Elephas maximus indicus: one gene and its partners. The protein of the gene in region 1 purifies or fractionates together with the protein of each later gene. This does not show direct contact. Links are inferred from orthologs where the notes say so. Each region holds a gene or a part of one and is shown in the gene's direction. Other genes may lie near its edges.

Evidence for each region.
Region 2: the proteins of NCL (region 1) and NPM3 fractionate together in Homo sapiens (co-fractionation; 4 studies listed by BioGRID and IntAct, with this or other methods). This does not show direct contact. The link is inferred for Elephas maximus indicus from reciprocal best matches to the Homo sapiens genes NCL and NPM3.
Region 3: the proteins of NCL (region 1) and HSF1 purify together in Homo sapiens (affinity purification with mass spectrometry; 3 studies listed by BioGRID, with this or other methods). This does not show direct contact. The link is inferred for Elephas maximus indicus from reciprocal best matches to the Homo sapiens genes NCL and HSF1.
Region 4: the proteins of NCL (region 1) and NAP1L4 fractionate together in Homo sapiens (co-fractionation; 3 studies listed by BioGRID). This does not show direct contact. The link is inferred for Elephas maximus indicus from reciprocal best matches to the Homo sapiens genes NCL and NAP1L4.

What each region holds. Positions count from the first base shown.
Region 1 is NC_064824.1:133,752,392-133,759,973, reverse strand, and holds the start of NCL (nucleolin), read left to right. Parts: upstream 1-4,582; 5' UTR 4,583-4,764; coding exon 4,765-4,782; intron 4,783-5,912; coding exon 5,913-6,038; intron 6,039-7,365; coding exon 7,366-7,582. UniProt on the Homo sapiens protein: Nucleolin is the major nucleolar protein of growing eukaryotic cells. It is found associated with intranucleolar chromatin and pre-ribosomal particles. It induces chromatin decondensation by binding to histone H1.
Region 2 is NC_064834.1:53,388,430-53,395,283, reverse strand, and holds NPM3 (nucleoplasmin-3), read left to right. Parts: upstream 1-3,944; 5' UTR 3,945-4,152; coding exon 4,153-4,273; intron 4,274-4,598; coding exon 4,599-4,684; intron 4,685-4,913; coding exon 4,914-5,033; intron 5,034-5,517; coding exon 5,518-5,611; intron 5,612-6,029; coding exon 6,030-6,145; 3' UTR 6,146-6,154; intron 6,155-6,249; 3' UTR 6,250-6,346; downstream 6,347-6,854. Other genes in the region: OGA (protein O-GlcNAcase), read left to right, coding at 387-523. UniProt on the Homo sapiens protein: Plays a role in the regulation of diverse cellular processes such as ribosome biogenesis, chromatin remodeling or protein chaperoning. Modulates the histone chaperone function and the RNA-binding activity of nucleolar phosphoprotein B23/NPM.
Region 3 is NC_064833.1:674,133-682,063, reverse strand, and holds the start of HSF1 (heat shock factor protein 1), read left to right. Parts: upstream 1-4,919; 5' UTR 4,920-5,107; coding exon 5,108-5,224; intron 5,225-7,931. Other genes in the region: ribosome biogenesis protein BOP1, read right to left, coding at 1,535-1,714, 4,578-4,691. UniProt on the Homo sapiens protein: Functions as a stress-inducible and DNA-binding transcription factor that plays a central role in the transcriptional activation of the heat shock response (HSR), leading to the expression of a large class of molecular chaperones, heat shock proteins (HSPs), that protect cells from cellular insult damage.
Region 4 is NC_064825.1:134,919,635-134,927,233, forward strand, and holds the start of NAP1L4 (nucleosome assembly protein 1-like 4), read left to right. Parts: upstream 1-4,591; 5' UTR 4,592-4,703; intron 4,704-7,599. UniProt on the Homo sapiens protein: Acts as a histone chaperone in nucleosome assembly.

The sequences.
Region 1 (7,582 bases):
TCTCACCATCCTTGCTTCGAAGGAGCACTCTGGCTGTACCTCTTCCAAGATGGATTTGTTTGTTCTTCTGGCAGTCCATTATATCTTCAATATTCTTCACCAACACAAGTCAAATCTGTCAATTTTTCTTTGGTCTTCCTTTTTCATTGTTCAGTTTTCACATGCATGTGAGGCGATTGAAAAGGTCATGGCTTGGGTCAGGCCCACCTTAGTTGTCAAAATGACATCTTTACTTTTTAAGATTTTGGTGAAAAGATCTTTTGCCACAGATTTGCCCAATGCAACATGTTGTTTCATTTCTTGACTGCTGCTTCCATGGGCACTGATGATGGCTACCCCTTTTTCAAAGGTTGTTTCAAAGATTAAATGAGTTAGCATATAGAGCACTGGAAGAGCACTGGGCACTTAGCCAGCACTATACAGTAAGACCTGTGAGAGCTAGAACTCCACAGCACTGCCTTGGTTTTCAGGGTCTCCCAAGTTTTCCCCCTTTGACAGTATCAAGGATTGAATTGTGTCCCCCCAATATATGTGTCAACTTGGTTATGCCATGATTCCCAATATTCTGTGGTTGTCCTCCATTTTGTGATTGTAATTTTATGTTAAAGGGGATTAGAGTGAGATTGTAACACCTTACTAGGTCACATCCTTGATCCAAGGTAAAGGGAGTTTCCCAGGGGTGTGGTCTGCACCACCTTTTATCTTTCAAGAGATAAAAAGGAAAGGGACGCCAGAAGATGGGGGGGAGAGGATGTCATAACACCAAGAAAGAAGCACCGGGAGCAGAGTGCTTCTTTGGACCTGGTGTTCCTGTGCAGAGAAGTTCCTAGTCCAGGGGAGGATTGACAAGAAGGACCTTCCTCCAGAACGAACACAGAGAGAAAGGCTTCCTTTGGAGCTGACACCCTGAATTTGGATTTGTAGCCTGTTAGACAGTGAGAGAATAAATTTCTCTTTGTTAAAACCATTCACTTGTGGTATTCATGTTATAGCAGCACCAGATGACTAAGACAGACATGGTGCAATCTTACCACTTTTTCATTGCTCTCTTAGTGGACAATATTTGAGTTTTCCTTCTCTGACAAGTTTCTGCCTCACACAGGTTCTGGCTTTCACAGGTTTTACTATGTAAGTACTCTGGAGTCCCTGGGCGGGGCAAACTGTTGAGTCCTTGGCTGCTAACTGGAAAATGGGCAGTTTGAATCCACCCAGAGGCACCTGGGAAGAAAGGCCTGGCAATCTACTTTCAAAAGGACACAGCCATTAAAAACCCTATGCACATTTCTAGTTTGCAACACATGGGGTCGTCATGACTCAGAATCTGCTTTATGGCAACTTTTTTTTTTTTAAATACATATATATAAGTACGCATGTATACGAATGTACCGTTGAGTCGATTCCAACTCCTAGTGACCCTACAGAACAGAGAACTGCCCTATACTGTTTCTAAGGAGCACCTGGTGGATTCAAACTGCCGACCTTTTGGTTAGCGGCCATAGCTCTTAACCACTACGCCATCAGGGTTTCCGTATGTAGTAAGTACTCAGTATTACTATTTTTCTACCCTGGACTGTGAGACTCAAAGTAACACACTTGAACCCACCGTAAGCTATACTGGCTCTCTCTGCTGCTTATTCTACCTAAATACAAGTAGTCCCCAACTTACGATATATTTGCGTTACAGTGAAACTTACACAGGCTTTACACTTTTTTTTTTTGTATATCTTATTGTTATTAAGAAAATATTGTTATTAGGAGCCCTGGTGATTCAAATCCACCAGCCAGTTCTTGGAAACCCTATGGGGCAGTTCTACTCTTCTACGGGGTAGCTATGAGTCGGCATCAACTCGACAGCAACAGGCTGTGTGCATGTATTGTTATTAATATATACTACATAAAATGTGGCAGCATATAATTTGCTGATATTCTCAGATGTAATGTTTCCAAATCCCAAAGACAAATAAAGATGAGATTTATAAAGATACTGATAATAAAAGGCAATAATAATGAAAACTAAAAAAAAAAAAAAAAATGAAGTGTTCGACTTATGCCAGAACCGACTTACGAGGGGAGTAGCAGTCAGAATGGAACCCTGTCATAAGTTGGGGACTACCTGTAGTTCAATTCCGTCATTCATTTAACAAGTAATTTTCAACATTATTGCGTGCCAGGCAATGTTCTGGGCACCAGGAATACAGTAGAGAACAATATATGTATTCTAATGTGGGGGTGGAGACAGACAGTAAGCAGACAAGAAAAATATCACATAGCAATAAGTACCTGCAAAGGATTCAGTAGGGGTGATGTGAGTTTCTGAGTGGGACTTTACATTGGGATCTGATCCGCAACGTATCATGCGGATGGCAAAGAGCTGGGCAGTATTTCATTCCATTGTGCTTAGGTCGCCATGAGTTGGCTAACAACAACTTTACACTGGAGGCCAGCGGAAGGCCTCTAGGGAGGACATATAAACAGATCTGAATGACAAGGAGCCAGCCATGCCATATTTCTAGAATTTGTCCTTGTCACTTGGTCATGCCCCCTTAATCTCTAGAACCTCTTCCCACAAGTGCCAAGTGTCCTCTGTGTCAAAATCACTGGAAACACCGAGGGTCTCATTAAAAAGTCTTATGCCTTGGCTCATGCTGTTCTTTTTGCCTGGGCGGCCACTTAGTAACCTATTTGCCCTCTTCCCTAGAGACCTGAGTGTGACTATCCTCAGGGGGTCTCCACAGGCCATCAGAGTCCAGGGTACAGACCTGGCCCCAGCCCCTTGCCCACACCAGAGAGCCCAGAGAGTTTCCTATTCACTGGGTTTCAGAAGTGTGCCAGAAAAAACTGCAAAATAACTTGATTGCTCACAAGAATCCCCATGGGCCCTTGTTAAAATTCAAAACCCAGGGCCCTAACCTAGACCTCTTGAATTATAGCATCCCTCTTGAATTATAGCATCCCAGGGGAGATTCTTTCTTTATAATTTTGTTGTGGTAAAATATATATAATAAAAAGTTTGCCATTGAAACTATTTCCATGTGTAGAATTCGGTGACATTAACTACATCCAGCATGTTGCGAACCATCACAACTATCCATCTTCCAAGGGTGAACTTTCGTATCAGTTCCGTGTGGGAAACAGCATCAAGGCTGAAGGTGTCCAGATTAGGAACATTTAGGTACCAGAGGCCCAGGATAGATCCTGGGAAGGTTCTAAACTAAAGCCAAGTGCTGTGGTTTGTTAAATTTGGCACCAACTATAAATTTTCACCCACAAAGTAACCCACTCAAATAATTGGCAAAATCACTGTACAAAGACAATTTTCTGTGCTTCCGCCATAGAGGTAACTTTTCCTTCGGCTTTCATCTACTCCTGGGCCATCTAGTGCCAAGGGCCACCCATCTGTAACATTTTAATGGCGCTTGAAGTCCACCTAGAGGCATCTGGGAAGAAAGGCCTGGCAATCTAGAAAAACCAGCCACTGAAAACCCTACGGAGCCCAGTGGGGTCGCCATGAGTCAACGCACGGTCTACCGGTTTATGGGTGGTGCAAACGGTTACTAACTAAAAGCTTGGAGGTTTGAGACCATCTAGAGACGCCTTGGAATTAAGACCTGGCAATGTACTATAAAAAAAAAAAAAAAAAAAAATTTTTTTTTTTTTTTTTAATGTACTACTGAAAAATCAGCCATTAAAAACCCTGTGGAGCACTGTGCTACGCTGACACACGTGGGGTCGCCATGGTACTGGTATTAGCCCCAAATAACAAGGGGGGAACTTCTGAGGTGGTCAAAGACCCAGCTGCAGTCTGCTGACCCAGGTTCATCTGCCGATCCCAGCGGTAAACCCTGAGACGGCCAGAAGCTTACGAGTCTGATCCCCGTGGGGAGGGAAATACCTACCGCATGAGGCTGTGGGATTAAATGAGATGTCTGTGCGCTTATCAGCAGAGCCTGAACACGGTAAGCCTCTTTATTAACAGTTCTCAGGGGACAGCTTCAGGCCCACGGCCTGGGAGCGTGTCACCTGTGCCCAGGGAGATGTTTCTGGTCCCTGGTTCGTGGATGGACGGGGCTAAGGTGGGCACCGAAAGGGGCAAAGTGAACCCTGGTCCCTAAACTTTGGGCGGGCTCGGGCTCATCAGCAGTTAAATGGGCCGAAATCCTCCCCACGGCCGCCGGGAGTCTCAGCGTGGAGTGCGGACCAGAGCCGCGCGTGGGGCACCGCAGGACCCGCAAAGGCCGCCCGAGGCGATAGGGCTCATTCGGGAGCTGCAGACCGCCAGCCCCCGCCCGCCCCAAGCCCGGGCCCACCCGGCGCCAAAATGTCCGTCTTACGGCGCAGGCGCCATAAGGCAGGCAGCGCAGGAGCACCCGGGGCCGCGCAGCCACCGCCCAATCAGCGCAGGCTTCGCACAAAGCCAAGCCCGCCCCCAGGTGCCGACACCAAGCCTCCCTCCCATCCCCCGCCGCCTTGGCCCGCCCACTCCCGCCCCGCGCCGTTCTCGGGGAGGGGCTCGCGATTGGCTCGCGGGATGGACGCGCGCTCTGATTGGCCAAGGCGGGGTCACGAGGGCGCCGTCGTCGCCTTTCCAGAGGCGATTACTGGGTAGGCTCCGTCTTTTGCCTCAGTCTCGAGCCCTAGCTGGCAGCGAAGCGTGCGCGCTCCAGGCTCTTCAGCACTCGCGGCCGCCATCGACGTCGCTTGGGTTCTTCTAGGCTCATCTGCGCCACTCACTCTCCACACACTCCGTCGTCACAAGCCGCCATCATGGTGAAGCTCGCGAAGGTAAGCGGCCTTGCAGGCGCAAGGCCGGGCGTCGGGGCCTGCTTCCCGAGGAGCGCGCGCGCGGCGCCGCGAGGAGGAGGGCCTGCGCGCCGTCCCGGGCGCGTTCGAGGTTCGCCATGCTGACGGAAGTCTCGCGCGAGAAGCGGGCGGGTCTCGCGGGTTTTGGCGACATGGAGACGCGGTGAAGAGCGCCTGCAGGTGCAGGGGGCGGTGGGCACGGCGGAGAGAGACTTCGGGGCTGCGCGCGGGAAGGGGCGCGGGGCCCCGGGTGGAGGGGTGAGGCCGGAGCCCGCGACGCGCGCGAGCTGGCCCCGCCTCCTGACGCACGTGCCCCGGCGCGCGGCCTGCCACGTGGGCCGCGCCGCGTGGGTCCCTGCGGCTCCGGAGAGGGCCGTGTTCTAGCGGAGAGCCGTGGGGCCGCGGGCCGGGGGCAGCGGCGGGGTGGGGTTAAGGCAGACGTCCGGCGGCCTACGGGGTCCCCGCGCGGCGAGCTGGCACGTGGTGAGCCCCGGATGGAGACGCCGCCTCCGCGTGTTTCTGCGTGCACATGGTGGCCTGGGAGACACCCCCACGTGGCCCGCTGGGCTCTGAAAGTTGGGGGGTTTCTCCGGGAAGGGAACACTGTTAAAAAGACCACAAGTGTTAAAAGGTGACTGAAAGATCGTGGTTTTTAATTTGAATTCGGACCACGTGCCCAGAATTTATCAAAGGCTTTTCGAGGGTAGTTTCCCAAGGGTAAAGGATTATGAATTGTTGGTTGCGCAGTGGGCCTGGCGCAAGGTATTGTATATTAAAAAACACTCAGAGCAATATTTAATAGTTAGGGGATAATGTTTTTAAAACAGCCGTGGTTCGGAAAGGCGACAGGAAGAGGGAGATCGTTTTTTTGACCTGTTATTCTAGGCTTGATTTTGTAGCTGTACAGACTGACAGGAAAAATACAGGTAGGTTGAAAATGCTGTCTTAAGTTGTATATTAAGACTAGTTTGCATGTTAATGGTATTTAGCGGCATGGAAACTGGATTCTGAGGAAGAAAGAACTGCATTTTACTACGTAGACTAATGGCAAAACATAAATGGCTTGAAATACTGGTGCAAATGTGGTGTGCTAATAGTTGTGTCCATTTTAGGCCGGTAAAAATCAAGGTGACCCCAAGAAAATGGCTCCTCCCCCTAAGGAGGTAGAAGAAGATAGTGAGGATGAGGAAATGTCAGAAGATGAAGAAGAAGAAGAAGAAGACAGCAGTGGAGAAGAGGTAATTATATGTGATTTGACACGGAATGACATTAAAACAAAATCAGGGAGGTGGTGTTAGGTGTTTGAAAATACTACCAAAACTGAAGGTTTATATTAATTCATACGTGGCCTTGTATGATGGTTGTCTCCCAAGCTTTTCTTTGACATATCAAGATGCAGTTTGGGTAAGTATTTGAGTATGAGTTTGAGACCTGACAAGATCTCAGATGCCTTTTTGCTGGCCCTTTCTTGGGGTAGGTGTGATGTGTTTAATAATTACATTTTTCTAGTTTTAACATTTTAGCTGCATACGTTAAATAAGGCCACAGCCTGGACAGTGGGCAGAACTGAGTATCATATTCAGGTCTGAGGAGTCCATCTTGTAGCCTTATCACATCTCTTGACTAGCTTCTAAGCAGGATCAATTGATCTGTATTTCACTGTGGAGAAGCTTTGTAACAATCGCATTGTGTTATTGTCTGTATGTGTTCAGGGTTGCCACTTGTCTTAGTGCTGACCCTCTTTAACACTCCTGCCCACTCTTTGTTCACTGTAAGGACAGCTAACCATTGGGCTCGTGCTCAGATTTTTTTCTTTTAAGATTTATAGAGGGTTTTATTCTTCCCACACGCTACGTGATAAAACTAATAATCAAAAAATAGCTTGCTCCCTCCCAACGTTTTTAATATACGCAACAGTATTCACCTTTCCAGCGTTTTTAACATGCACAGCGTCAGTTTACTGGCAGTTGATATGCATGTTCTTTGGTAATTTTGCCAAGGTTGACTGTCCAGCCTACTTACTGTTGAGCTTTTAATCTCTTATTTGAAGAACTGAGCTTTCAGTGATCTCTGTACGTACACTGACCGTTGCAGGATCCTCAAAGGAGATAATAGCACTTAAATATTTACAACTTTTTGTGTACAGGGCTGTAAGTAATTTAGCTATCGATTCATTTCATTTTTAGAACAACATTTAAGTTTGATATTATAGTTTTTAGATGAGGAAGTTGATGCTTAATATTTTTTAAAATTTGTCCAAGGCTGCACAGCTTCTGATGGATGGGATCTATTCCAGCTCTGATTTCAGAGTTGGTACTCTCTTAGGCTGTACAGCTGCAAAACTGGAGCAGTTAATTGGGATAAAAGTATGAGATGCAGAGATCTGGATTCTTGTGTTTTCAGGGTTTAAAAGCTGTATTTTATCTAAATTGAAAGATGAGGGTTGTAATTTCTCAGGTAAATAGAGGGGCATACTGTGTGCCCCTAGACTTTCATGAGTGCTTTAATGCATGTCATCTTAAACTAGAGGCAGTACCAGAGGATTTCTTAAATTTTCTTCTTCAGGTCATCATTCCTCAGAAAAAAGGCAAGAAGAATCCCGCGGTACCGTCCAAGAAGGTGGTGGTTTCCCCAACAAAAAAGGTGGTAGCTGCCCCACCGGCCAAGAAAGCAGCTGTCACCCCTGGCAAAAAAGCAGCAGCCACGCCGGCCAAGAAGACAGTTACACCAGCCAAAGCAGTAGCGACACCTGGCAAGAAGGGAGCCACCCCGGGCAAAGCAG
Region 2 (6,854 bases), on another chromosome or scaffold:
ACACCTTTATATGTTTTGAACTGAGGTGTTCTTTGCCTTGAAATTTCTTACACCCTCTTCCCTGAGAGATTTTTTTTCTGGGGAAGAGATTCAGTCACTATTGAATGTTAAACCCACTGACCCATTGCTGTCGACTCAAATCCCGACTCAGTGACCCTATAGGACAGAGTAGAACTGCTCCATAGGGTTTTCAAGGCTGTAGATGTTTACGGAAACAGATTGCCACATCTTTGTCCTGTGGAACAGCTGGTAGATTGGATCCGCCAACATTTTGGTTAGCAGCTAAGCACTTAACCACTGCACCGGAAAGATTAATCCCAATTCATACCCACAGTTCTACTAATTAAGTGACTTATTTACGTTTTGAATATTTGTTCTATTTCTAGGCTCTCGGGGGGCTTTCTGTGAAGTGAGACCAGATGATAAAAGAATTCTGGAATTTTACAGCAAGTTAGGCTGCTTTGAAATTGCAAAAATGGAAGGCTTTCCAAAGGATGTGGTTATACTTGGCCGGAGCCTGTGACGTTTATTGGCATTGTGAACTGTCCAAAGTCTCCTAACTACCTGGTGGGTGGTGGTTGGGGTCTTCATACAGTTCAGCTTATGGAGTGGCAACAGATCAGCTAATTGGATAGGAAACAAAGAAGACTATGTAAAACTGATCCATCACACATTCAGAATACTCACTGGTTGGAAGAAGGTAGTATTGCTGCAAACCCTGTATGAAACAGGTGTGGGCCTCCTTTTTGGGTCTTACGTTAGGTGCCAAGACCTCTTACATGGGCTTATAGCGAAGGGGTCTTCAATAAATGTAGTCAGCACTGTGTTCTGAATCCAGTGTGGTTGCATTTCTCACCTAAGAGTAATCAAAATCATTTCTGTCATCTTCTTTGGTTTATTGAATGAAATGTTTCATTCTTTGGGGACATGGCAGAGATGAGAAAGATTTAATGGGTTTTGGAGGCTTCAGGGTGGAGATTCCAAAGTGGGATGGTTGTGGCATTAGTTTAAGCTGAATAAATGATTTCAGTTTTGGGCAGTTTTTTTGCTTTTTGTAAAGCCGTAGCCAGTTGTCTCCTGTAGCGACCTTTGGTTTAGGCATGTTGTGCTTTGTAGGGACAAATGTGCAGTTGTGGCAAAAGCCTCAAAATGACAAACTTGTAAATTTCTTTGTATATAAACTAGCTGTAACCTGATTATTCTTGTGTTTACTGTTTTTGTAATTTTTTTTTTTTTTCTTTAAAAAATGAGAAGGTGTTAGTTCAGGATGGCACTTTGAATAATGTAAATCATAGTGGAAAATGGATTTGCTTCTATCTTTGTGGTTTTTTTGTTTTTTTTTTTTGAAGAAGTTTTTTTATTTTTAAAGTGCCTCCCACCTAGGGCTAGGCTATGACCATTTGGGGTACGAGAGCCTAACTTCTGTAAGTAGGACTCAGTCTGTTGCAGAGTACAGTCACTTTGGGAAATTAACAATAGCAGGTCAGCATGTGAAATGTTAGTTTTGACACCTGTCAAGTAGGGTTCAGGGACTAATTGGTCTCATTTCCTTCAGATCAGTTGTCCTTTAATTTCAGGACCTGTTAGTACTGGTTTTATTAAATCAGAGTCTTTAATTCTTGCATGTTTGTATCTAATTTTTAAAAGAAAGAATGAGTACATTTTAACCAATGCTTTATGGTTACTTTTTTTTTCCCCCTCTTTAACCACCAATTCTGAAAGCTTCATGTATTTTAATTTGGACTTGATGTTTTTAAGGGGCCTGAGCATGAGGCTGGCAGGTAATCTCCACGGGAATCATTTTTTCATCATGGCTGGCTGACTTCTTCATAGATTCGTGAAAGCATTATGTTATTTTGCTTCCCTACAGTTTTGCATCAGCTGTTCAGCTTTGAGCTGAGTGAGGCAGGAGGGGCAAGAAGAAGGAAAAGTGAAATATTTTCCTTCATAGAACTCCCATCAGTGTGGGCTTTGAGAGAGTCTTAAAGTTTTATACCAAGTTTGACTTCAACCAAGGCATGAGAGTGCATTAAATGGGTGAGAAGGGAAGGGAAGGGAAGGAAGGAGTCCTCTTCATTTTCAGAGTAGAAACCTTTACCTAATAGAAAGATAAGGTATGTTGGAAAGCAAGAACCAAGTTTGCTTTTTTGAGGGCTGAGAGGAAGTGAAAGGGGAATATACCTGCTAGATATTGTTTCCAACAGCTGAATATCACTCAGTTTTCCTTTTGAGTGTATTTCATACACTAGTGGACAACACTAGCATTTTATCTGGAGGATTTTAGGGTCAGCCTCCTGTGGAATCAGGATTTTTATCAAGTTTGCTTTGGCTTTATCTTGGCTTTCAATAATCATTTTGGCCAGTATTCTGGTCACAGATGCTGAACTGTGAAACAGATGTCCAGGCCTAAACCTTCATCACTGTAGGATAGTAAAAGTGCTATGCTGACATCTTCCATGGTTATGCGTTTTTACTAAGGTTGGAATGACACTTTATTGTTCAGAGCACATCTCGGTTTCTGTAGCAAACAAACTGTAAAACTATCTGAAGACCATGCAAGAGGCAAAATAAAACTTGAAGTAAACGTGTGTAGTGTTGTGTTGTGTGAATCATGTTCCTGTTTCTGCCTCCTACCTTTTTTCAGGTCCTTCACACCTTGCCTACAAGCAGGCATTACTTATTTCCACAGCTGTTTGAAGTTTGGGCCTAGATCTTGAAGGCAGTTTTCCCCACTGCTGCCTGTCTAAAGGGTTTCCTTCCAGATTATCATCAAGGCAGGGGCACAAGCCTAAAAAAGCAGACCAGTTCCTGGCCAAGTCACCTCTTGCCACAGTTGTAACCTGGGTGTAAAATAGGAAAGCTAGTTTGAAAGATTATCTGCCATCTAATAGGGTAGGGAATGCAGAATTCGCCTGATTCTTGCTCAAAAGGTGAAAGATAGGGTCGGGTGGGGGGAGTAACCCAAATTGTGTGAGGTTGGGAAGAATCCAAGGAGGAAGGATGTGCTTGGGCTATTTTGGAATCAAATTCAAAGACGGTGTAAAGGGTGGTTCTGTCAGAGCAAGCAGTGGGTCCCACATCTGAGCTAACTTGTGCTGTACTAGCAAGGCAAGCATATGATGCTCAAAGAAGACAGTTGAGGGAGGCAAGTGTGCTACAGGAAGGTGTCATTTGGGCAGGAAGCGTATCTTGGAGATGCTTAGGCTAGGAAGATGGAGGAGTTGGGGTGAGTTTGAGTGGAAATAACCTGGAATGGAAAGTCTTCAGGCTCCTTGGCTTCTCTTGGGTCAAAAGTTACGCCAAGCATGAAGCTGTTAAGTGCATATCCTTTTGTAAGAACTCAGGCTGCCCTGAAACCTGCCTATGCTAGGGAAGGGAGTAGGAAAGGCTTACCTCCGTTCCTCAACAAATCTTACTCTGGGTTGGAAGAGTGGGCAACTATAGAGGGTGCTAGGAGTAGTCAAAAAATCAAACGACATATTGCATTGGGCAAATCTGCAAAAGACCTCTTTAAGTGTTAAAAAGCAGAAGTGTCGCTTTGAGGACTAAGGTGTGCTTGACCCAAGCCGTGGTATTTTCAGTTGCATCATATGCATACCGAAAGTTGGACAATGAATAAGGAAGAAAGAAGCATTGATGTCTTTAAATTAGGGTGTTGGCAAAGAATAGTGAATATACGACAGCCAGAAGAATCAACAAATATTGGAAGAAGTACAACCAGAATGCTCTTTAGAAAGCAAGGATGGCGAGACTTTGTCTCACGTACTTTGGATATGTCAGGAGGGATCAGTCCTTCGAGAAGGACATCATGCTTGATAGAGGGTCGCTATGAGTCGGAACCCACTTGACAGCACCCAACAACAAGGGGCTGAAGAAAAGGGAGGCAGAAGATGCTTTCACAGAGCCTTGATCGTGGAAATAAGCAAGGACGTTAACAGTAACCCCAAATCCATGCTTCTGTAATGTTACGCCCTTTCTTTGCGGTCTTGACACAGGTCTGAGCAGAAGCCTCCTGGGCGGGAAGCCAGGCACCGGTCCCACCTCGGTCCATTCTCAGTCTGGGAGTCTCCTTTAAGAGGCGGGGCCGGAACTGGCCGTGTGTCACTGGCTTTGTACGTGTCGGAGGCGGAGTTTCAAGAAGGTTCTTGCAGCATGGCCGCCGCCACCGCCGCCGCCGCCTTAGCGTTCCTGAGCCGGGAAAGCCGAGCCCGGGCGGGGGGTATCGGAGGCCTGCGCGTCCCGGCCCCAGTCACTATGGACAGTTTTTTCTTCGGTATTGGGGAAAGGAAGGGATGGGGGTGGAGCTGAGGCGGCCTAGGTAAACGGCGGGGATGAGGCACAGGAATCCGTTTGGGTGCACGACGTGGGTGGGGATGGAGGGACTCCGTCGCCGACCTTGACGACAGCGGGCCCCGCGCGCCGACGCTCGAGCGGAAGAAGACGGCGGGCCCTGAACCCAGTGGGGAGCGCCCCAGGTGTTTCTAAGAAGGGACGTTTGGTGGGCGTGTAACGTGCCGGTCAGTCGATGGTTGCACGTGACGGGGGCTTGGTGAAATGTTCCCGCCCCACGCGCACACTTCCACTGTTCTTTCTCCCAGGTTGTGAGCTCTCTGGGCGCACCCGCTCCTTCACCTTCAAGGTAGAGGAAGAGGATGATGCCGAGCACGTGCTGGCCTTGACCATGGTGAGGGAAAGGCAGGAGGTAGGGGGCGGCGGGTACAGCGAAGACTAGCTCAGCTTAGGCAAGCCTCTCCCTCCTCCACTTTACTGGGAGTCACCTCCTCTGCTTCACCCCCACATGGGCAACTCCGTCGGCAAGGTTATCCAGGCACCTTTGAGTTTGAGCAAGTTCTAGGGCAGATGGCTCCACCTCAAGCCTTGCAAGACGTAGAAGCCCTGTGTACCTTTCCCAGCTCTGCCTCACCGAGGGGGCCAAGGATGAATGTAATGTGGTGGAAGTTGTAGCACGAAACCACGACCATCAGGAGATTGCAGTCCCTGTGGCAAACTTGAAGTTGTCCTGCCAACCCATGGTGAGTTCTTAAGCCATACTTGGGGGCAGGGGCGAACTAGCCAATAGGCAAAGTAAGCATGGTGTTTATCATGCTTAGCACATCATCTGTAGTGAATAATTTCACATTTTTCACCACATCAGTGATTTTGCTTCTAGATATGGCTGGCATCTGTCTCTCTTTCAACCCCACAGCACCTTCTTAGAGAATCAAAGCCTCTCTTTAAATTTGCAATCCCTGACAGGGGTGAATGACCCAGCAAGCAAGGTAAGCACGGGCTTACTTGTGCTGACTTAATAGTCTACAGTGAAAAGTTTCACATGTGGTATGTTCACTACAGATGATCTGGTAAGCAAGGCAAGTGCTGTGCTTATCTTATTGGATAATCCACCCCTGCCTGGGGGGGTGGGAGTGGGGGTTGGCTGGAGATTGAAAGCTTTGGGACTCACTACCAGACAGGGTGAGGACTGGAAGGGGTCAAGCCTTTATCGTTTTCTTCCTCCAGCTCAGCCTCGATGACTTCCAGCTCCAACCACCTGTAACCTTCCGCCTAAAGTCAGGCTCTGGCCCTGTGCGAATCACTGGGCGGCACCAGATTGGTGAGAGTGAGGGGAGGGCCTTCTCCTTTGCCTCCAGTCCACTCCAGGCCTCCCCACACTCCTGCCCCATTTCCACTTCATTGCGCAGTGCAGTCTCTATACAGACCCTACATGCTCCCCTTCCCTAGGCTATGCCCCTTGCATCATGTATCCTCTACTCTTCTGCTCAAGCCCACCTCCTTCATGGAACCTGGCCCAGCTTCTCCTGCTCCATTGATGTGTACTCCTGTAGCTCTTTGGCACCCAACTGGTGGCTAAGACTCATTCCAACTAGACTATAAGCTATGGGCGGTCAGGGTTCCTGTAAGCCTAGCACCACAAGGCCTATAATTAAGAATTGCCCAATAAATGATGTGGTGTGAAGGAGGAATGGCTTCAGCCTTCCTCCCGTCCCCCTTATTGCTTGTGTGTCTACCAGTTACTATAAGCAATGATGTTTCTGAGGAGGAGGAGAGCGAGGAAGAAGACAGTGAGGAGGAGGAAGCTGAGTTGTGCCCTGTCTTGCCTGCCAAGAAGCAAGGGGGCAGGCCCTAGCCCACCTTGGTGAGTCAGGGACGGAGCAGGGAGGTGTGGGCTGGGGAGGAGGCAAGAGGAGCAGGTAGGGGTCTAGATGCTGAGCCCTTATCTGCTCTCCTCAGGTCAGCTAGCAGCCTGTGACTTGTGCCATGCACCATGTTCCTGGACAAGTCTCAAGAATTTGAAATGTTTCTTCTCTGTTGAAGAGGGGGGTTTGGGGCAGGGGGTGGTGGGTGCTTGGGTTGGTGCTAGGAGAAAAGGGGGCCCATTTTACTTAGGGTCCTGTTGTAGACCTAGCCATGTCTGGGGCTTTCCTTTTCTCTAGGGGTGGGAGGAATTTGGGACTTCTGACCCTCTCTCCCACCCACCTTCCCATGAAGATTGGAGGTCAGTAGTTGAAGCTCAGGACTACGCATTTTTACCCCTTTTTATATTTTTGGATAAAGGTTGAAATAAAATAGCATGAGTTTTTTTGCAAATCATGAGTGGCTTCTTCCTGTGCTGGGATGACATTCCCCTAGGGACCACCAGGTGGCACTGTGGCAGCATCGAGGGTGGCCCTGAGCCTCGGAGAGTATAGGGAAATGTGGGATCCTGGTATCCCTGGGGCCTGGGCTCCAACTCTCTTGCTGGAAGGGGACCTCCCAACACCTAGACCTTTACCAGCCCTGTGGGTGGGGGAGGGCCATTCCAGGAGGTTATCAGTGTCCAAACAAGGGGTCTGGGC
Region 3 (7,931 bases), on another chromosome or scaffold:
CAGCTCAAGCTCCGTGTAGCCCTGTGCAGCCCTTCCTGTCACCACTCAGGCCCACAGCGGAGGAGACCTGCCCTCCCCCTCAACCCTCACTGCGATATCATCTGAGATACCCAGACACGTCACCTGTTTTAGAGAATCCAGTGAAAGGAAAACAACTTAAATCTAAACAGGTGGATTTCTTCACTTAAAAAGCGGGGAGACTTGGAAATCAAAAACTATTAACTATTGTTATGGACTGAATTACGTCCTGTCCACAAAAAATACCGTGTTGTAAATCCTAACCTCTATGAGTTGAAATTGACTCAACGGCAAAGGCTTTGGTTTTTTCCGGGGTATGCCTGTGGTTATAATCCCATTGGGGAATGGGTTGTCTATGTTAACGAGACAGGATTAATTTAGAGTGTATCTTGAGTCAATCTCTTTTGAGAAATAGAAGAAAACAAAGGAGCAGAAGCTCAAGGAGACAAGGAGAGAAAGCCTTCCCCTAGAACCAGAACCCTGAATTCAGACTCCAGCCTATGAGAAAATAAATTTGTTAGAGCTACCCACGGTTACAGCAGCACTAGGTGACTGAGACAGCTGTACTCACCACCTGGGGCCAAGGGCACTGCAAGGGAACACACACTCATTACTGAACATGCTGACATATCATCAGACTTTTCTTCAGAGAGGGCAGATTTTGTACTTTTGAGAAGAGAGGGAAAGTTTCCCATGATCCTACAAGCCAAAACAGGCACAGTGCATGTGGCCCTTCCCAACGGGGATGACGTGCCCCGCGGCCATTCGCACCAGGGTCAGTGCAGGTCCCAAATGGCAGATGCTGAGGACGTGAACTGTGGCTCCATCTCGTCTTCCTTACCAAACAAATCAAACCCAGTTGAAACAACCACAGCATTCTTGGTGCTCTTACAGGAGTAGACTTCTGTGTAAGTCAAAGTCACGAATACCAGAACACCAGGGCTGTTTGAAGTACAAACTGGTGTAAACTAGTTTCTAGAACTTTTTAACATAGTCAGTTTGTATTTTGTTAAATTAAGCTTTTCTCCCACTTTCCTTAAATCAAGAGCAGGGATCAACCTTCCCCATCATCACAGTACCCGGCCCCGGTCCCCGCAGGGCTCCCATGGGTCAGCCAGGCTCCGTGCTCTCTTCCGTCGCCCAGGTGCTCCACCTACTCCTCATAAGTACCCTGGGCTGGGACACGGGCCTCACCCCAGGCTCTGCTAAGCTAAAGTCTGGCTGGGCCAGGAGAGTTCACCCTTGTCCTGTGGGGGTGACATAGTTTTTCCCCAGTGACTGACACCCACTGTGGCTGGAACCAGTGTTCTGGAGCCCAGCTACCCCAGCTACAAACAGGTGGCTGCACTTGGCACTAAAGGTGCCCCAGGGGCACTGAGGAAGGGGTGCCCACGGGGTTCCCGAGGGAGCTGTGGAGAAAGGCACAGCCTCTTGGTGAGCCCCAGGCCTGGCAGGCACTGCTTGCTCCTGGTTGCCTGGCTTCTGGGGAGGCCCACAGGAGGCCCTGCCCACCCACCTGTGACTGCTTCTCAATGGTCTTCCCCGTCCCGACATGACCTTCATCACTGTTGGCCCCATCCTCACTGTCGTTGTCACTGCCAGAATCTTCTAGGCCGGAGAACACGCTCTCCTCGCTGTTAGAGAGGCCAGAGTCACTGGTATCGATGTGACTAGGAGCAGGGCTGCAGAAAGAGGGCTGCAGGGAAGGAGAGTGTTGGTTCAGCTGGAGCTGCCTGCCCACCTGCCTGCCCACCTGCTTGCCCACAGGCCCTGTGCTGAACAGGGAGGCACAGCAGAGACCGGCTCCTCCAGGCGCCACCACAGCTCTGAGCAGCAGCAACCCTCCACCTCCACCCAAGCCATCCAGCCCAACCCAGACCTTTCCCATCTTCCACCTCCACTGACAGCATCGCCGTTCACCCTTGAATGGGCGTTTTACTTCCCAGTATCTCACAAGACACAGAGACTTTTCAAGGACACCATCCTCTTCTTAGAGTTTAGTTCTCACTGCCTTCCCAAAACCGGCTTTCCATGCCAACTGAAACCCCCCATGCCTCACCCTGATATTCGAGGTCCCCAGAGCCATGAGAGCACTACTAGGAAAGGGGCTGGGGACAGCAGAGAATTAGAATCCACGAGGGACTTTTACTACCCGAAGCAAAAGCCTCCTCATCGCATGAGATTGGGACAGCCAGTCAATCAGTAAACTGACAATGTTGGTTAAAGTCATTCATAAACGTGATGCAGTGTAGGGCCTGGCTCTCTGGGCCAAAGTCTGAGACTGAGGAGGCACAGTGGGCGATCCTGGCGTGGCCTTTACCAAAGGACAAGGACGCAAAGGCGCTTAGGAAGCAAACTGAATGCAGAATTCTGGATTCCCACCTTCTTCAACATTTCACAACCATCTCGCCTAATTGGACAGCCTGTGTTTATCAGCGGTCCCTAGCACTCAACTTCATCTTTGCCTATGCTCACCAGCTGTTTCTAGCATCAAACTTTGTTTTCACAGATATGACCCTCTCATACGCTCACACTATATCTCTGACGTTTTGATAGCTACACATCACAAAAGCAAGTAGAAATGGCATAAGCTGGTTTGGAAACAAACACGACAGAAACTCTTGATGAGTGCCCAGCCCAAGTGATGGCCGCAGCCACGACCAGAGTGGAGCACTGCCTGCTGGGGATGAGGGGTGGGCAGCAGCAGAGGCGGTGTAGGTGAATTTATCTCACAAAGAGGAGGGACAGCTCCCACCAATCCAGCTAAGTGGTGTCAGCTGTGAGAGGATCCAGCGGATGTGCCTCTGTGCTCCAGATGTGACGAAACCCCCAACCAAGCAGGATTGAGCTGGGAAGCAGAACCAGCAGTGCTAAGTGGGTTCAGTTAAAACAACGTGTCCAATGCAAGAGGCTCAAAGGCAGACTGTCCACTGGGCTCTAGTTACATTTCTGCGTTCTAACATCCTTTTCTCCTTGCTGTAATATATCTAACATATTAGCCTCATAATACAAACAAGTACTGCATAATTAAGCGTATATTGGAGGAGCAAGCTCAAGTGTTCTTTAAGTTTTCATTTATTGGTTCTTGTTGAGAACGTACACAGCAAAACACACCAATCCAACAGCTCTACAAGTACAATTTAGCAATGATGATTCCCTTTGAGTTGTGCAACTATTCTCACCCCCCTTTTCTGAGTGGTTACTCCTCATTAACACATTCTCACTGCTCCCTAAGGTTCCAATCTAATTCTCCAGTTGCTGTCGCCACTGTGGTCCCATATAAACAGTGCTAAAAAGACCATAATGCTCAAGGCAGACATTCTTTACTGGCTAAGCTAAACTACTGTTTCGTGTTAAGAAGACTTCAGAGAATATTTTTTATTTAAGGTTTAAAGATGATCTCAGGGCACCCTCTGTGACTCCAGGAAGTCTGGATTCCATGAGAATCTGAAATTCTGTTCTGCATTTCCCCCCTTTTATCAGGATTCTTCCACAAAATGTTTCATCAAAACATTCATTCACGGTAGCTGGGCACCATCCAGTTCTTCTGGTCTCATGGTAAAAGAGGCAGTTGTTCATGGGGGCAGTTAGCCACACGTTCCGTATCTTCCTCCTACTCCTGAATTTCCTTTTTCCTCTGTTGTTCCAGGTGAATGGAGACCAATTGTGCCTCAGATGGCAGCGTGCAAGCTTTTAAGACATCAGGCACTACACAGAGCGCCAGGCAATAGTACAGAAGCACTGAACAGTGACCTGGGATATGCCGTGAAACCATGAACCTCCAAACCAAGAAACCAAATCCCACGAGGTGTTGGTGCACAAGCAGTCTCAGCACTGCTCTCTGGTCCTTGTAGTTCAAATGTTCTTAATGACAGGGTGATGCCCTGCCCTCCATTCCCACCCTCTTCCCATTTCGCTCCTCCTTAGACACTGTTCTCCAACCCCACAGAAGTGCCCCTGATTCCAGACTGCCTAGACACCTCTGCCTGGACCCCTCCCCTGCCGCCGCCTCCACTAGAAGGCAAGGCCCGATTCCCACGGCACCTTTCCTAGATTCCTAGTTCCCCCACGCGACTCAATCCTCGCTCTCAGCTCCAGCCCGACACACACTTCGAGTGGGCTCTCCTAGCTGCGTGCCGGCGAGGTTTGCTTGAACAGCCATCAACAACAGGCCTCCACTAGGATGCCACCCGACACTAGGGCGGGAACGCCTGCGCCGCCTGTGAAATTAATGCCGAACCCCAGGTTGCTTAGGGAGGCGGCTGTCCCATCCTACCCGCCCTGGGCACGCCTGGAGCGGTCCCCTGCAAACAGCAGCCCGGCACCGATACCCTTTCGGTTAAAGGAAACCCCATCCCCGACCTTCACCTCCGAAGCCTCGCCAACTCTGACGCCTCCTCTCCGCCCAGCCACCGCGCGATGTGTCGCTGCCACAGCCACGGAGGATGCGCCCAGCAGCCTCGGGGCGCCCCGCACGTGCGGCCGCGTGGGCTCGGCCTCGCCCGCCCGCCGCCGCCCCGGCCCCAGCGCCCGCCGCCCCGGCCCGCGCCCGCTGTCACCTCCTCCTGCTCCCGCTCCGACTCCCGCTCGGGCTCCGGGTCTGGCTCCGCGGGCCGCTTCCCGGGCCGCGACTGCGTAGCCGCCCCACGTCGCGCGCCCCGCGCGCCCGCCATCCTCCGGTGAGCCTGCTCTGCTTAAACAGCCGCTTCCGGCAGCGACCCGCCGCGTGCGCCTGCGGGGCGTGGCAGCGGGGTCAGAGGGCGCGGCCGGCCCGCCCCGCCCCGCCTGCGTTGATTGGTGAACGGTGGCGGGGGGCGGGGCAGAGCCATCCCGCGCAGGCGCGTGGCGGCCGGGAAGGGGCCCAGAGCCGGGAGCGCGCGCGCGCCGGTGGGGACGCAGGCCGCCGGGCGGCGCCAGCGGGAGCGCGCCCGTCCCAAGATGGCGGCGGCCATGGTAGGCCCCGGGGCTGTGTGTGCGCAGCGGGAGGCTGCGGCGGCGCGGCGCTGGCTGCGGGTGCAGCGACGGCGCTAGCCCGTTCCTCGGCCTCTGCTCGCGGCCGCTGTCTCTGCCTCTCCCTGCCTTGTCCGAAATGGATCTGCCCGTGGGCCCCGGCGCGGCAGGGCCCAGCAACGTCCCGGCCTTCCTGACCAAGCTGTGGACCCTCGTGAGCGACCCGGACACCGACGCGCTCATCTGCTGGAGCCCGGTGAGGGGGCCGCCGGCCTGTCGGAGGGCGGGGAGGGAGCCCGCCGGGCGGCGGGAGGGCGGGTCCTGCCCCGCCGTGGGAGGGAGGCCGCTCCGGGAGGGGCGAGGGCCGCCCGCGAGTCCCGGTGGGAGCCCGGGAAGGCGGGGGCCAGGTTCCCGCCTCTCACCCCCCGTGGGCGGGGCGGGGAGCCAGCCAGCCAGCCACCGCCGTGGGGGCGCGAAGTTTTCAGGGGACGCCTCCCCGCTCGGTTCCAAGGCCTGCAGGTCTCGAGTTTGCCCCGTAGGAAAGGGAATTCCAAGACTCGGTCCGCTTTGAAGCATGTTTAGGGTCCTGGGGGTAACGGCCCTGCTCTTCCCACACCCCGACTTGGTTTCAGGGATTTTCAGCAGGTGAGGTGGCAGCCTCTAGCAACGCTGCTGTCCTCAGCCTCCTCCTCGTTCAGCTGCTGACCGGCTGAAGATTCTCCGGGACGGGAAGGGAAGGCTGGACCTTCTCGTTCTTTGCTCCTTTGCTAAGTGTTGGACAAGCGTGGAGATGTACTGTCCTTAGACCAAACGTCCAGTTTCTCTAACGAACATTGTGCCAAAGTGGTGATTTTTATCTCCAACGTGTTACTGCGGTGGTGTTACTCAGAGGCAAATCAGAACTTGGCACATGAATCGCAGGGCGCTGCTCTAGTGGAGAGGAAAGGGGATGAAAACAGAAAGTAAAACGTCATAAACTCAAGCTGATCTCCTGTGCGTTTCCGGATCCCAGAAGTGGGTTTCCTTAGAGCAGTTTTGTTTTTCGTTCCTGGTGGGGCATCTCTGTTCACGTCCTTGTAGTCCGTTGCCCGGCAGCAGGCTTGTTTACGCGACCTGACCCTGAAGTACCCGACAGCTCTGGTTTGTAGGAGTTAATCCGTGATTATGTCTGGAGTTGGCGTTCAGATGGCTGTTCACATCCTGGCTGTGACAGTGTGTCTGATGAGGGCCACAGACCCAGCTCAGGGCTGGGATGTGATTGGTGGCCTGAAGGAATGCACTTTTGGAGACACCATGTTAGGGCTGGGTGCTTCCAGCCATACTTAGACTTCCTGTGAGCTCACACATTGGAATTTCTCAGACTGCAACTATGGCCCTTTTGTAGGCCAGTTGCTTAAGCTTAGTTGCCATCAAGTGATTCCGACTGCCAGTGACTCCATGTGTGTCAGACTAGAACTGTGCTCCAAATGGTTTTCTGTGGCTGATTTTTCTGAAGTAGATTGCCAGGCCTTTCTGCTGAGGTATATCTGGGCAGACTTGAACCTCTGACCTTTTGCTTAGCAGGTGAATGTCTTAGCCATTTGCACCACCCGAGGACTCCTCCTTGAGCCAGTAGGAATGAAGAGAAGTCTGGGCTGAAGCTCTGCCTTGTCAGAGGGCATTTGGGGATAAAGAGAAGGGTAGAGCACTCACCCTGCACTCCCTCAAAGCGCTTTTCTGAGAAATTTTTGCCTCTGCTCCCTGCCATCTCCTGTGTGGGTATCCCCTACCCCACCCACCCACCCCCCCATCCCCTACCACCATTTCTTTAATGCCAGGTACAGGTCCCTGGAAGAGGCAGTGGGCTTCCCCCGCATGCTCTCTTCATGTTTCCGCCATCCCTTCCATCTAGACCTCAACCCTTCCTGGCCAGACAAGATGACCCAGTGCTTCTTTCTCCCTGACCCTCTCCTCCCACCTCTTGCTCATTCCCCTTAGCTCACAGGAGGGGGAGGGGTATTAGGGGGCTGATCCTAGAGGTTGCAGAGGCTGTGAGGCACCACATCTCAGGCCTCTGGGCCAGCACACTCTCTTCCGGGACCCTCTGTGTGTTCTGGGAAAGGCCTTTGCCTGGAGCATTGTACTTGGCTGGGTTTGCGGCCATCGTCCACCAGGCATAAGCCTGGGCAGGGTCCCCAGAGAGGCTTTGCTCTTGTATCACAGCCATCTGTGATCCCATCGATGGGGCGGGAGCCAGCCAGGGTGCAGGCGTGTGGTTCTCCCTGGTTAGCACGCAGCCTGAGTGGCTGGGGTCAGTGCAGGACACAATGGGGCTGGTGGTGACAGTGAGCCCCAAAACCCAGCTCTGGCAGAGAGAGGACTGCGGGCTACCTGGCCCTAGAAAGGAGGGGATGTTCCCATCCTGCAACATCTGAGGACACCCACCAAAGCCCTGCAGCCCCTCTTTCAGCTCAGCCCCAGTCCAGGACCCTGCAGATTCTGTCACCCAGAGCCCAGCCCCCAAAGGCCTCAGGGAGGCTGATGTTCGTGCCTGTGCTGGAAGCGTTCTCCCGCTCTGCCCAGAGGTGCTGGCAGGCAGGCGCAGTGCTCCCTTGTGTGACACGGGACGGGAACTAGAGGCCTAGTGAGAATAACTCACAAGACCGACCTGCATTTGCTGGGCCATCAGAGTGAGCACCTCCTTAAATGTTGTGCCCTGACAGGAGAGTGGGGACGCTGTGGTCCCCAGGGCATGGGCCCTTCCCAGAGTGCCCGTAGTGTCAGTCTTCAGAGGCCTTGCTCGGAGAGGTGCTGAGCCTCTGTGTGGACTTGGTCCTGTGGCTGGGCAGGAGTCAGGCCAGCCCAGGTATTCCCTGGGCAGTCACACCAGACTCCAGGAGTTGGCAGGAGCTGGACCATGGGGTGCACGGGCAGTCTCCCATCCGCCCCAGAACCCACCCAGCTTCAGGGCCAGGTCTGTTGGG
Region 4 (7,599 bases), on another chromosome or scaffold:
TTTGGAGTCACCCCCTCTGACAGTGTCACCTGGTGTGGTCTACACCCCTATGCCCCATAGTGACTCCCCTGGGACAGGGCCATGGATGACCATGGGCCAGGGAGACGGCACTCCATTTTCTGGTGGCTGCCAGTGATCTTTGGCATCTTTTGCAGCTTATGAATATATCTGCCTCCGTCGTCACATGGCGTCTGTCTTCCTTCTGTATGTGACCCTATCTCCACGTCTGTTCTCTCAGGACCCTCCAGTCATAGAGGGCCAGGACCCACCCTACTGTGGTATGACCTCATTAACGGACCACATCTGCAAAGACCCTGTTCTCCAAATATGGTCACATTTACAGGTGCAGGGTTAGGACTTCAACGTTTCTTCTGCGGGACACAGTTCAACCCACACAGACAGGTCCTTTGCAGGTTCCAGAGGGCTGCTCCATGTGAGGCCGATGCCTGGGTTCTCATGTCTGTTTCTGCTTGTCATAGGCTGGGTTTTCTAGAGAAGCAAAACCAGTAAAGCGCATAAATATACATAGAGAGAGATTTGTATCAAGGAAACGGCTCACGGGGTTGTAGAGGCTGGAACATCCCAAGTCTGCAGGTCAGGATAGAGACGTCTCCTGATCCAAGTAGCCGCAGGGACTGTTGAACCCAAGATTGGCAGATCAGAGTGCAGGGTTCTTGCTCACAGGCCGGGAACATCAATGAATCCCAGGATCGGGAGGCAAGACTGCAGGTAAGCTGCTTGTTCAAGTCCCAAGAACCGGAGGTCAGATGAACAGGACCCAGCCGCAGGATCCAGAGCAAGCAGACCCTGAGCCCTGCCAGAATGTTCGCTTATATTCAGTGCAGGCCACACGCCCAAGAAAACTCCCTTCCAACTGATTAGCTATTCACAGCAGATCCCATCATGGCGGTGACCACATATCAAATCTCAACGGGGAAGTGATCACAACATTACATGACTGCCAAAACACTGAGAATCATGGCCCAGCCAAGTTGACACATGATCTTAACCATCACACTGCTGAAGGACCAAGACCACTGAGAGGTGCCAGACCCAGGCCAGGAGGACTCAGGGTGGTGTCAGGGCATCCTGCTGACAGCCACTCTGATCCTGGTCTGGAGCAGGGCACCCGCATCTCATTCCTGCCTGCAGGGGAGGGTGCTGAGACTCTGCCTGCCCCTTCCCACTGTGAATCTCTGTCCCTGCTACCTGCTCTGGCCTCACCTCCCTGGAGGGCTCCCCAGAGGGCTCTCTTTAGGTACACACACCACCCTGAGCTATCTGTGTTTCCTGGGGTGTACTGTGCTGCTCCCTCCCCCCAGGCCTCCACAGGTGCCTGGCCCTAAACACTGCGCCTTCCCTGGCCCTGCTGGGCCTCTCCTCCTGGTTCTCAGTGTCAGCGAGAACATCACTTCCTCCGGAAGCTGGCCAAGGCTCTCCTGCTAGTGGTGGGGCAGGGGCAATCATCGGTGAACAGGGGCCAAGAAAGCAGCAGGCAGGGGGATGTGGCCATAGCTGGGAGGGGCCGGGAGGGCCTCTGAGGGGAGATGGCCATCCAGCTGGACCCCAGTGGCAGGAGGAAGGGACGATGTGGGCTCAGAGAATGTTGATACCATTCATAATCCCAAAAGGTGCATGCTCAGGCTCATGGGGCCTTCCTTCAAACCCACAAGGGCTGGGGGCATGGACCCCTGCAGCCTGGACACCGAGACCTTCCCACCCCCACCCGGGCTGGTCTGCTCTCTCCAGGGAGCACAAGGGCACAAACACACCCAGGGCTCTGCCCCTCTGGCTCCAGGAATGCCCTTGGCTGGGCAGGCCCTGGTAGTCTCTGCTCCTGCCGCACAGGTCAACCCTGGACAGCACTGGTCCTGAACAGAGAGCTTGAGGGGCGCCATCCAGGCTGAGAGTCACATGGCACTGGCTTGAGCAGGGCCTCGGAGCTGGTTTAGAGAAAGACCCGGCTGTAGCCCTGACCTCAAGCCTGTGCTCTCGGTGCTTAGCCCCCTTCTCTCACTTCCTCTTTCCAGGCCACCCACAGAGGCGGCGAGATACTGACAACAGCCCATACCCCCATCACACTGACCACTGGTTCAATGTTGTTCTAACTCTCTCCCACCCGCAAAGCTCAGTGTTGTTGCTGTCAGATCGGCTCTGACTCATGGTACCCCCACGCACAACAGACTGAAACATTGCCTGGTCCTGTGCCATCTTCAAGATCACTGGTACGCTGGAGTCCATTGCTGCAGCCACTGTGTATCGTGAGGGCCTCCCAGCCGAGGAGCTCATCTTCCAGCTCTGGATTGGACAATATTCTGCTGTGATCCATAAGGCTTTTATTGGCTAATTTTCAGAAGTAGATCACCAGGCCTTTCCTCCTGGTCTGTCTTACTCTGTCAACTTCGCTGAAACCTGCCCACCTGGTGGCATAGCTTCCAGCATCTCAGCAACATGAAAGCCACCACAGTATGACAGACTGACAGATGGGTGGGTGGTGAAGTAGGCAGTGCCCCCATTTTATAACTGCCTCAGCCTGCACAGGACACTACAACAGAGAGCTTCAAACCTCTGGAGTGACCCCAGGGAGAAGCCCCTACTCACAGCTGCTCCACTTACAGAATCCCCAAGGAACAGGCCCAGCTGCCCATGTGAGCCCCCTTACCCTGGCTCCCACCGGCTCCGAGGGCCAGCTCCGAGGTGGCTCTAACCACCTCGATGCCTCCACGCCCTCACGGCTTCTTTGGGGATCATCACCCACCACCGCCTCCCCCCAAAATTCAGGCTCAGACAGACCTGAAGGCTTTAAATGGATTTGAAATTTTATTCAATAGAAGGAAACTTGAAAAGGCTTAGGTTCTTTTCTTTTGTAGTTTCCTCAGCTGTTTATGCTTTTTTTTCCCCAAAAAAGTAAAGTAGGGTTATTTCAGACAAGTCAGAAAATCCAAATAAGGCAGATAGGAATTGGGACACTCCCCCTCCACCCCCAACACTCAGAACAGCTGAGCCAAGCTCACATGTGTGGTCACACCAAAGGCAGGAGCTGGTCACTCTGAGGTTTTTAACCTACATCATGTCCTTAACAACCTCCCAACTCAGAGCCTTTACAGGGTCTCTTCTTTTTCCCTGTTGTAAACAGCACAGGTTAGGAAAGATTTGGTGAAAAAAAAGGAGGAAAAAAATTCATTTTTTTTTTTTTCCAAAGCAACCCCACCCAAGGAAAAATTTCTGGAAAGATGGGCAAGAATAGTTAAAGACCCACAGCCACACTGGAGAGCCCAGAGATGAGGAGATAAGCCAGTCGCAAGCAAATAGTTGGCAGCTGGGACTTACATTTTCCAACCACATCGTCATCCTGCCCACGTTGGTTTTAGCTCAGTGTTTCTCCACAAACTGTGATTCTGAGAGTGTGGGGTTCGTGACCCCAGTCCCAACCCAGCCACAGGCTGGAGAGAACTGGATAGGGCAAGGTGAGGAGGGTCACCCCTACCTATACCCCACAGCTTCCTGGAGCGCCAGGGGCCCCTCAGAGAGCCCACCTCGCTTTGCTCTGGTAGGCTGTGCCCTGGGGGGGGGGGCAGGCTGTGCCCTGGGGGGGGGGGCAGGCTGTGCCCTGGGGGGGGGGCAGGCTGTGCCCTGGGGGGGGGCAGGCTGTGCCCTGGGGGGGGCAGGCTGTGCCCTGGGGGGGGGCAGGCTGTGCCCTGGGGGGGGCAGGCTGTGCCCTGGGGGGGGGCAGGCTGTGCCCTGGGGGGGCAGGCTGTGCCCGGGGGGGGGTAGGCTGTGCCCAGGAGCCCAAAGCACAAGAGGGGTTGGGGTGCAGACCGCCCCCCACCCCCAACACGAAGTAGGCAGTCCCCACTGTTGCAGGTGCAGAATGGGCCTCCACCCGGCCTGGGGTCCCGCAGGAGGTGACCTGTCGCCTGGGCCCTGAACGGTAACTGGACCCCAAGAATGGAGTGATGAGACAGGGTCCCGGGGGAAGGGGACGCCCCCTGCGGAGCTCTGACGGCGGGATGAGCCAGGCGACTACAGGAAGGGGCTGCACGAGCAGGGGCGCGGGGGAGGGGGCGGAATCACGAGCTAGGAGGCCGGGTGGAAACACGTGGGGAGGGACAGGGTGGGCGGCAGATCCGAGGGATGGCGGCGGCGGAGGGCGGCGCGGTAGGGCGCGGGCCCACGGGGCGCGGACCACGTGTGACGGGTGGACGCCATCCCGTTTTCTGGGAGGGGCGGTGCCAGTCCCGTGAAAGGGGCGGGAGAGGCGTCGGAGCGCGGGCTGCGCACGGGCGGAGCAGGACGCCCGGTGGAGCCGCCCGAGGAGGTGGAGGCCCGGGGGCGCCCCAGCCGCCCACGTGCTCCGCGGCGCCGACACTTTAAACCGGCGAGAGGAGCGCCGCGCGCGGCCGGGGCGCGGTCACGCGTCTCATTTGCATACGGCTCGCGCAGTCCAAGCGCGGCGCCCGCTCTGCCGCCTCTGATTGGTCTCCTTCGGCCTCGCCGAGGTGCGGTTGACATGCGCAGCTCTGGCCCAATCGCAGCCCGTCTTGCTTCTGGAGGGAGGTGCCCGGGTGGCGGTTCGGCCAATGGGGCGCTGCGTTATTGGCGGCCACGGCGGCGCTGCAGCCGGAGCGAGAGGAGCCGCCGCAGCCGCCGCCACTGCCGCAGAAGGCGTGAGGTGTGGAGCCGCGGGGTGCGGGCCTGGCCGGGTAACGGTGCTGCCGGGGGCGGGAGCCGGCAGGGCGGCGGGCGGGAGAAGGGCGCGGCGGGCCGGCCGCGGGCGCCGTCTGTGGGGGCCGCGCGGCTCGGGGCCAGGGGCGGGGCCCGCGGCCTCCTGCCTGGAGGCGGCCGCGGCCGAGCGCCGCCGGGACCGCGGGCCGGGCCTCCCCTCCCCCGCCGCCGCCGGCCCTGAAGGTCAGCGGCCTGGTCGTCTGGCTCCGGCCGGGTCCGCGGTGGCCGCGCGGCTCCCGCTCCGCCGACGGTGCCCTTGGGGAAGGTGAGGGCCTCGGGGCCGCTTCCCGCCCGGAGCTGGTGCGGTCAAATCTCCCGCCAGCGCGGCCGCCTCACGTGCCGGCCCCGAGGCCGGGCGGGGCCGGGCAGCGGCTCGAGGCTCCCCGGCGGTCGAGAGGCCGCGTTCGGGACTTCGCTTCCCGAGCGTGGGCTTCCCCGCGGGCTGGTGCGGCCCGGGCCCGGGTGGCTGGAGGCGGGCTAACGGCGGAGCTTCGTTTCCGAGCGCCTGGTGGGCTGGGGCCGCTCGACGACAGGCGCAGATCTCGGTGGTGTTGGTCAGCTGCCGCGGGGAGCTGGGCGGCAGAAACGGGGTGCTGGGCGGCAGAAACGGGGTGCTGGGCAACACGTGCTCTGCTGGGAAGGCCGCGGGCTCAGGCGCCTTAGGCGGGTGCCCCGAGGACGGTCGGTGGCGCTTCAGTTACCCCGGCATCGCAGGCGTCAGGTCTGCTTTAGGGGTTGAACCCATCCTTTAGGAGAGAAGATGTTTCCTCCCGAGGAAAAGAGGAGGAGTCGAGCAAGGCTTAGACGCCCTGGATGGGAAGGTTCCACTTGCCGTGCACAGAGGGTCTGGGAATGACTCTGACGTTGCCCAAAGGGGGTTAGTACTACACAGGTGTATGTTTTTACCGATTAAGTAACTTTTTTTTTTTTTTAAATAATCTCTTCCTTTTTTTATTGAGTGCTTCCTGTTCACGGCAGCCAAGGATTGCCTGGTTGGGACGAGGTCTTCCTTCCACCTTCCATCCTTCTCCTTAACTCGGCAGTAGCATCGCAAGTCTGATCGAGATAAGGGAGGCGGAGGTGCTTAGTGTCAGAAATTTTCATTCCCGCATTCAAAACCTTCAGACCCCCCGAATTGTGCCACTTGACATGTGTGGGTGAATGTTCATGTGTCTGGCAAGAAGGTCCATCGTTCTCTCCCCGATCTCAAAGGACTCTGTGATCCAACGTAGCTTAGGACGTATCTGGCCAGGCTTTGGGTCACCTACCCACGCCGAGTCACTTTCCCAGCTTCACAGCCCTAGGAGTCTCTTTTCATCTGCCTGTACTTAGTGTACTGTGTAGAAACAGGCTTGTGGAAACTTCTGTATTAAAGCTGAACGGGTACACAGGGTAAGTTCTTAGCTCTGCTGTTTAGGAGGTATTTTAAAGTTACTGCCCTTGACGTAGTGATAACTTCTCATGACTAGTGTTTATCATATGCCAGGGGCTGCTCTCCACTCTTTTGCATGTTAGTTCATTTCCTAGTGGCCTGTAAGATGGCTTCTATTTTTTTTCCTGTTCAATTAACCAGTGAGGTTAGGTTTAGTGACTTGTCCAAGTTGAGAGACCTTGGATTAATACCCAGGCAATTTTTCTCCAGAAGCTGTGTTTGATCTCACCTGGATACCTCCACTGGGTTTGTTGAGTTTCGATTTTTAACTTTGCCCAGATGTACCGCTTTCCTAAAGGGAAGGAAAGGCGTTTTAATGGAGAATTAGGTCCCCATTGGTGAGCTAAACCTAACTGAAGCCTGGATTATGAGGATTTGCGCTGGTTCTTGTTTTCCAGAAAGATCCACAGAGTACGAAATGCTTCCCGTGGTAGAATCTGGAGATTTCAGATTGGGATTAGCAGTTGTTAGAGGAATAACTGATAGGCAAATGTAAAATGAACTTCAAAGGAGGGAAGGACAGTGGTGATAAAGTAGGGAAATATTCCAAAGATTAAGTGAGTGACTAAAAATAAAGACCGGGGAGATGGTTTAAAAATCAGTTATCTAGCTCACTTGTTGAAGTGGAGTTGGGAAGAGAAAGAAGCCCTAGAAAATGAGTTTCCTCAGTTTATTAGCTGCTTCCTTGTTTGGGGACTAGAAAAAGACTTTCATTTTTTGGAGGTAAATTACCCTATTTTTCTGAGATTTGAGAGAATCTTAAAAGTAATACCTTTTTGGTCAGTAAAAACGCTACTGCAAAAGTTAAACTTGTATAGAATTATAGTGACAAAAAGGGACTCGTTTTACAGATGAAACAGGTATAGGGAGTGCAGCCTTCTCAAGTTTGCCTGGGGGCATTTTCACCAGAATCTTAAGGCCTCTTCTCATGGTACGATTTTATGAATTGTTTGAGCGTTGCCCTGCCGAGTTCAGTAGTTCCTGTGCCATAGGGTGTTTGCAGCCTGTTTTTTCCTAGTTGATCGGTGTTACTGATGCGGAGTGTCAGCAGGTTATCTCCACGAGCGTATCACGAGATGGCATCTGAACACATCTGCTCTACATTTTGTCTTACAAGCCTTGAGCCCTGCACTGTTTTTCATAACTCATACAGAGTAACGATTGGGAAATTGAATTCCTTGTCAGAGCTGATTTGACCATTCTCAGGTTTGATACGCTCATTACGCTGAATCCTGAAAAGGATTTTTAATACTAGTAAGTGGTCCTCTGAAAACGTGGAGGGCATTTTGATTTTGCGAACTGGCCATTTAGATTATCAGATTCTCTAGTGTTTTGAGCTTAGAGATTTTTATCTGTGTGAGTTAGTTCATGCTTCTGTGGAGATATTTTCAAGATAGAATGTGTTTAGCACCACATTGCAGCCTGGAGTTTGTACTTGAAAC